Linked DNA regions of Lepisosteus oculatus. The protein of the gene in region 2 interacts with the protein of the main gene of each other region in a biochemical or structural test. Links are inferred from orthologs where the notes say so. Each region holds a gene or a part of one and is shown on either strand. Other genes may lie near its edges.

Region 1 (3,754 bases), on a different chromosome or scaffold from region 2:
TAACTATTTTGTATCACTCGATTGAATTCTAGTCCAACAATTCCTTGGTCCAACAATGATCCATTGGTCCAATTAATCACCATTTTAGTGTCTTTACTTTGACAGTGATGACACATTGTGCTCTAACTCATTCTTTTTAATATAGGGTTTTGTCATTCCAAGCACACATTTGTCCATGGTTTTGGGGGGTGCCTAGTAGCTTCTCTATCACTGTTGTATTTAGAGTTCAGGGTTCAAGTCCACATTTTAATACTTTCATAATAACTAATACTTTCATTTTAAGGCAAAAAACATTTTTTCCACAATAATTATGATATATGACACTATTGTCACTGCCATAGGATCTAGCTATATATTGATGAGGGGTATCATCATTACCTGCTATGAAAGTAAATGTAGGTACTCATTGTATCATGGACTTTGGATATATATTCACCCATTTTTGCCATTTTCTCTCATAGTTGTTCAACAGATATTGGCTTAGAGCAGACCAACTAATTATTAGAATCTTGTCTGTAAATGGGTGAGCCCTGTGGTGTGTGCTATGGGTCAACAATTTATAGCCATTTTATAATCGACCAATAATGGGAACAATAGTCATTTTAGAGCATTTTCTGCACCAGAAACATTGCAAACGATACGATTCAGAGATGCGGGAATGGTATTTTGGATTTACCTGCTCTGCCGGTGCATGCAAAAAGAGTTTTGGTCTAACAAGTGCCTAATTACCTAATTAAGATGTTCACATCCTACACAGTTATGGTATCACTGTTACTGTAAAGGGATTTTAAAGTCTGTATTAGCAGTTCTTCCATTAGCCTGTTCCTTGAGGGAAGGGAAGAAAAATCATTAGATAGTATACAGCAACAACTGCGAAGTTTACGGGCTAAAAAAACAGCCTTTTTTAAAACTATTATTGTGAGAGAAGTAGTTCTTAAAGTGAAAGATAGGTTTGGTTGTGTTCAAGCTGAGCAAAGGAAAAACAATGTTTCGGGAAAATGTGCATGCATCACTTATTTAACCAGCAGGTGGCGCCCACAATAAAAGTTACAAATAATTTACTGTACTGTGTGTGCAAAAAGATCCAAATCCTCCGCCTTCCCAAGGATCATCTGCTGGGCTGAAGGCTGCTCTCGCAGCTCTGAGCTGTGCAGCCGGTCATGTACAATTTAATGTCACCCGTAGGCACAGAAAAACGGAGATATTCGGTATTTGACGGCGTTACTTCTATTTAAAAAACTGGATTACTAGTTGGCTGCGCTGTGCGATACTTAGTATTTGACGTGGGTGGCGTGTTTACTAGAAAGCGCCGTGTTTTGTAGCGCTGACTCCGCACTTAATAGTTTTCGTGTAGCAAAATATGGCAAAGGTTCAGGTGAACAATGTAGTAGTGTTGGATAACCCATCTCCCTTTTTCAATCCTTTTCAGTTTGAGATTACTTTCGAGTGCATTGAAGATTTGCCCGAAGGTAAGTAAGTGTACTTCTGTTTCAAAACTGTAAATTGCTAAGAAGGTAGAGAGAAAACAATTGATTGGAGGTTGCGAGGCCTGGATTTGCTAATAAATATGTAACAGTTTTGTAATTAACAATTGTGCATAACGGAGTACTAGTAAGTGGTGTTTATTTTTATTTTCAAATGACTCTAACGCGGATATCTAGAAATTCTGTAATGGAATGTATTCTATCACCGAGGGGTCGCGTTATCATTGACTCAGGTAATCGATTTATTTAGGCTCTGTATTACGGATAAGGTAGCCATGTTGTCAGGAATATTCTAGTTGTTGGACAGTATGGTATGAGTGCATTTAAAAATATGTATTTTTCTTTTGTATAATAAAAGCAAAGTGACAGTAGACCCACTGACAATCGTAGTTAGCTAGATGTATGGAGAGCATGACCACGTCTAATTATAGAAGTTTTTGTTTTTACAAATAAAGCGTGTAACTAAAAACATTAAAATAAAATTATTTGAATATAAACTTGCGAAAAATGAATCTGTTAAAACTATCTTGGTTAATGTATGAAGTGCTCAATCATGTTTCGCCACAGGAAGGAAGTAGGCTGTAACTATAACTAGCATCAATCCTTGGCTAGGCTCCTACCAGGATTGATGCTAGTTATAGCCAATAATCCGTATTCTGTCTAAATTGGCTGTGTATATTTATAGTTACTATAATCTTTATGCGTCCGATGGAAAGCTTAGTTTTATCACGCTTTTGGTGTAAGTGGAATTTTTCAATTTGTCAGATAGGATTCCTTAATCGCCATGCCAATTAACACAGTTTTAAACTTTTTTGTATGTAAGAGTACAAAAACAATAATACAGTAAAAGTTAGTCGCCCCACGTTTTTGAAGTAATATTATTCTCTATCATCGTTTTTCGCTGTAATTGGCGTGGGTGAAGTCAGTGCGGCGGGTTACAGTATGTGTCAAATCGCGAGCGGGGCAGCATTTTTTTTCTGTGGGGAAAAATATTTCCTTTGAACATTTTTTCCACCTCGTTATATTTATTCACCGTTGGCGTGGGCAGTCGCATTGAGAGTGTTTTAAATGTCACTTTGCTTATACTTTAGGCTAATACGGAATTTGTAGCACCCATTATGGATAGTCTAATAATATTTCTTAGTACTGATTAATGGTAAACAGCGACACATTCACAGTCCCTTCATTTAAATGAAAGCTAGAAGTGTTTGAACCAGACATTGTTATGTAACCTCCAAAATGTACCCTTTCTCAGCAAAAGTTACAATACGTTACAATAATGTGTATCTACCAGAGGGTCGTCTTAAAATTCCATGTTATGCGAGATGATTGGTTAATGACACAAACCACTATGATTTTCTGAGACGATAGAAATCTTGTGAGTACTGTATTTGCGTGTGTGTTTGAGAAAACCAGCCTTATACTTTAAGGTCATAGGCTTAGTCTTATGCTTTCCAATCAGGGGACTGATGAATACCTTAAGAGGTTATCAATAGCTTGTTGGCAATCCCACAATCCAGAAGTATTAAAACTATTTTCACATCTCTTAGGTTTATTTGCATGCTTACTTGCAGTAAATTTTATAGGTGCTTTCCAGTGCCTTAGGTGCTGAAAGCAGCCAACTGCTTTTCATAATTTGGAAATTAGAACTAAGGTGGTGTCAAAGAGAGAAAGAAATACATTTATCTGTTTACCTTTAATGCAACCAGTTGGCCAGTGTACCTAGGTCTCACTTTATCTTGTATCTTGTTTCAAAATACAATTAGTTTTTAACAAGATATTGCATAATTACAGACCTCAGAAATAGATGTTGAAAATAATGGATGGTTCAAAGTGATAATCATTGCTAGAAATGACTTGCTGTCCTCTAGTGTGGTGAGTAGTCCTTTGTTCTGTTGTCTGTCGACAGTAGATTATGGGCATTAAACTGTATTGTAAAGCTTTTTTGTCTACATAGCAACACTTTGAAACATAAAAAAGCTCTTTGCTTTAAAAGTAGATAAAGATGGAGAGAACAATATCAGTTTTTCCCATTGGTGATTTCCTGGGAGGGTGTTGTCACACAATGCCATTCACAGACGTGACAGTGCATGTTCACAAGTCATCTGTCAGGCATGATAATGGGGCCCCAAACCACGAAGGAGGTTGATCATGAATTTGTCTTACAGTATTGTTGACATGAGCTTTATCGAGACCTTATGGGATAAGCTGCACTGCCATTTTCATAACTTTTTTTTCCCTCCAAAACAAGCTTCAGTTTACCAGATTTC
Region 2 (3,754 bases):
GTGAAATCATATACTGTAGCACATGATACAAAAGCAACCTAAAACAAACCTCCACCCTTTATTTTAACTTGCACTTTCCCATTCAAACAGTATTGATGCAAATAAGTGCACAGAATAAAGAACCACACTATTATAATACCAAGACCCGGACAGGTATTAAACATGGCAGCAAACTGTGTGGAGCTATAACGGGAAAGTACAAACAGGGACAACTATACAAGGAGGACATTCAAGAGTACAAACTGGCGACATACAAGGCTGGTGTAAAATGAGAACAATGTCAAAAGTACTAGAGCTGCAGACCAAAATGTCATTTTCTTGATGCTTTTATTTATTTGAACCCACGCAGAATTAAAGTGGGCCACTAGTCTCTGATCAACCCATAGTTCTTCCCCTGTCCACCGAGTACAATTAGGCTGCCAAAGGAATTTCTAGTTCCAAGCTAACATTCTGGTAAACTGAAAGCACAAAAAGCCCAATAACTGCATAGCTACACGATACCTCCGCTCCCTCATAACACAAAACCTCTCTACACCACCTTGAACAAAAGAGATTCCTAAACTAGCTGCCCCGCATCACACAACCTCTCCAGCAGCTCCCCCTCTTGGGGAAGTGAAAGAGCACTGGTCTACGGGTCACTTGCCCGAACAGTAGTGTCCACTCCTGCGGTGGCCAGCCTGTTGACTTTCCGATCTCCGCCATGCTGGAAGTCAATGCTGTACACTGGTTCCTTGTTGTGCCAGGCTATTTCACAAGTGATGACTTTCATCCTGGACCGCACCTATAAGACAAGCTGCGGTGAGCACAGGTGGCGATGCAGAAGAACCAGTCGCGCTTCAGACCTCCTCCCCCTGCAGACTTGAAACCCAGAGCAGGGAGATGGTCAGACACCTGACCATGTCGCTGCTGTCCTGTGTTAGGCACTGCACTTAACACAGAATTATGCAGATGTGTTGCTATGGCGTTGCAGACAGTTTTAATCTGGCAACACTCCACACTGAACCTTGCTTTTTTTTAAGGAGTAAAGCACAAGCTGACGGATTAAGCAGCTTGGTGCACTCTGCTGATCCCAGGTTGGCTGTGACAAAACAGTTGGGGTGCTTTAATTCCTAGCAAAAGGGAACCCGTGGCAAAAACCTGCCTTCTCCATTGTCTCACCTTCCAAGAGACTGAGCCCAAATAAGCTTTCATTATAAGTGTCTGCCAGCTGGAGACGAGACAAGCTGCTTCTGTTACTCTTAAGCACAAATTACATTTTGTGTATGGAGCTGGTGAGGCTAATGAACTCAAAGATGCTGTTTTTCAAAGACAACCTGACATGAAAATGAAAATGTATTAATAAACTACTCAATTTCTACAGCGCAACAGGCTTACTGCTCTGTTGCTGAATTTCTGAATACTCTGTTTGAATTGATGTGGTTTAAAAGAAGGATAAGGGATAGGTAGTTTAAAAGCCTTCTACGGTCAGGTACTAGTTACTAAGGCCTAAATAATTCGCAAAAACATAGTCCAATGGGATTCTAATTTGTGTGTCACTACTTCCTAACAACCCATACCTGGGAAAAAAAAGAAAAAAAATGGTAAATGCAATAATTGTGTCAGTCCGTACAAGTGAATACTAAAATACAGCACTACAATAGCAACAATAAGTGGTTGAGACATTTGCCAAGAAATCAAATACAACTCCAGCAGAAGAAGAGAGGCTGTGATCTCCCATTATGTCACAGATAACCTGTCCACAGTTCAGAGAAGCAGCCACTTTTACAGCAAACCGAGCACGGTGAGGGATTTTGATACGTTCAGCGACCGATAACTTCAAAACCTTACAGGAAACATACTCTCTTTCACACAAACAGACCCTGCTATGAGCACTGCAGATAGATGTTCGGCCTGTTATTCACAGCATTATCTCGCTATATGAGATGTACAGTCCTAAAAAAAAAAAACTCAAAACAAAAAAAAACTGATCAGTGAAAATACGACACGCAAAAGTTTGGAAAATTAAAACAAGTTTTTCAAAAGCTTTCAGAAGGTCACGTTTCTTATTTAAATCATATTCACTCTGTATTTGACCGGTTGTTTCTGAAGTGACTAGTGAGACGTAAACAGTTACATTCTAAAAGTTTTTTTGTCCCAACCGGCTCTTGAGTGGCGAAATATATATATGTGTGTGTGTGTACACCTGTACTTTCCCTATGCACGGTTCAGTATATTTAAAACGCGTTTAAAAAAAGTAAAAAGAAAAGATGCCAAACTTACCAGACTGACAAGCACTCCGCTCACTGTGATCCGCAGTGGCCGAACAGCTGAGTTTCCCGCGCTGCAGTGGGGGAGTTACTCGCCGGGAATCGTGGCCAGAACCGCCTTCATCATCCAACATGGCCGACTGAATTCGGCTCTTTCCGGAGGGTTTACGAGGAGAACCGAATACATTTCGAGGTGTCGAGCTGTAGCTGCAGAGGCATGGATACAGTTTGTGTATTGCAATAGGGGTTGACAAAACGGAGACGTGTAGTTACAGTACTGGGTTTAGCAAATAAACAAGAAGGGTATTATTATAACATTATTAGAAACATCAAATATTTTGTCCAAATAATAAAGTTACTCCTTTAAAAATTAAACACAAAAATAAGTTATATTCTTGACAGTATACTAAGCGCCAAAAGAATGTTGCCCCTCTAGGAATGCATCAATATTTGTAGAAAAATAAAGTAAAAAAAAACTGATGAAGAAATTAGATGTGGTTTCAATGACAGCACAGGCCTTCCTCAGGATCTGCTTGGCATAAAGCAGCCTTAAAAGCTCACCAATCATTTATGGGCTGAGATTTATGACATTTAGAAAGTATTTTTTCTTTTTGAATGTGTGAAGCAAACCAAGAAATATAACAATTAAAAAAATGAACAATAGTAAGTTAAATATTTTCCATTAAAGACCCATAAAATGCTATATACTAGGATACTTTCCAATTCCATCAGAACTTATTTTCTCAGACTATATAAGCACTGCATTTCAGTGAACTTGAATGGCTGTCAAACACAATTCCCAGATATGTGTCACAGTAACTATACCAGTGGATTGTTGTGGGAATTATATTGCTTTGTTTTTGACATATTCATCTCAAGGTAAGAAGTATCATCACACCAACAGACAATTTCATCCAGAATGGCTCCACATGTTTGTCCAGCCACTGAGAGCAAAGAGACTAATACACTAACATCAGCAAACCTGTTGCTTTGATTATTTTCAGTTTCTTTGACAGTCATCAGTATATACAGTAAGATGAAAAGGAGGGAGAAAGATCACAGCCTTGTGTTGAACCAGTGGAGTACAAACAGGGTCAGATGACAAACAACCTATTAAGAAATGCATTTGGTGTTCAATTGGTCAGAATTGTTCAGGTCTATGACTGACAATGACACATACTTTTAAGACCTGACTATTGTACAAGCACTAAATCATCTATTTAGCGAGGAGCTATACAGGTACAGGCGATGAGGTCATTTGATCTGTTGAACGCCAAGCCTGAGGAAATTCAAGAAAAAACACAAAAATGACATGGCCCCTCATCAAGCAAAAACCGACGTTGTGCCCTCGGTCTGGTACAGGCTGGACTAAACCACCACCTCATCACTTGTCAGGTGTTATCAAGGCCCCTGACCGGCATCGACAGGCAGGCCCAACTGTGATGGTCTGGGAAGACAGCCCTGCCCCCTGGCACAAAGCATGCCACAGATCCGCAGCTTATTCTGCT

What was found. The genes of interacting proteins can lie anywhere in the genome.
Region 1: the proteins of chaf1b (region 2) and histone chaperone ASF1 form a complex in vitro, tested with the Homo sapiens proteins (2 studies listed by BioGRID and IntAct). The link is inferred for Lepisosteus oculatus from reciprocal best matches to the Homo sapiens genes CHAF1B and ASF1A.

The regions. Positions count from the first base shown.
Region 1 is NC_090704.1:23,424,595-23,428,348, forward strand, and holds the start of histone chaperone ASF1, read left to right. Parts: upstream 1-1,074; 5' UTR 1,075-1,160; coding exon of another isoform or gene 1,161-1,208; 5' UTR 1,209-1,360; coding exon 1,361-1,469; intron 1,470-3,754. UniProt on the Homo sapiens protein: Histone chaperone that facilitates histone deposition and histone exchange and removal during nucleosome assembly and disassembly.
Region 2 is NC_090710.1:18,474,401-18,478,154, reverse strand, and holds the start of chaf1b (chromatin assembly factor 1 subunit B), read right to left. Parts: upstream 2,363-3,754; 5' UTR 2,260-2,362; intron 782-2,259; 5' UTR 770-781; coding exon 644-769; intron 1-643. UniProt on the Homo sapiens protein: Acts as a component of the histone chaperone complex chromatin assembly factor 1 (CAF-1), which assembles histone octamers onto DNA during replication and repair.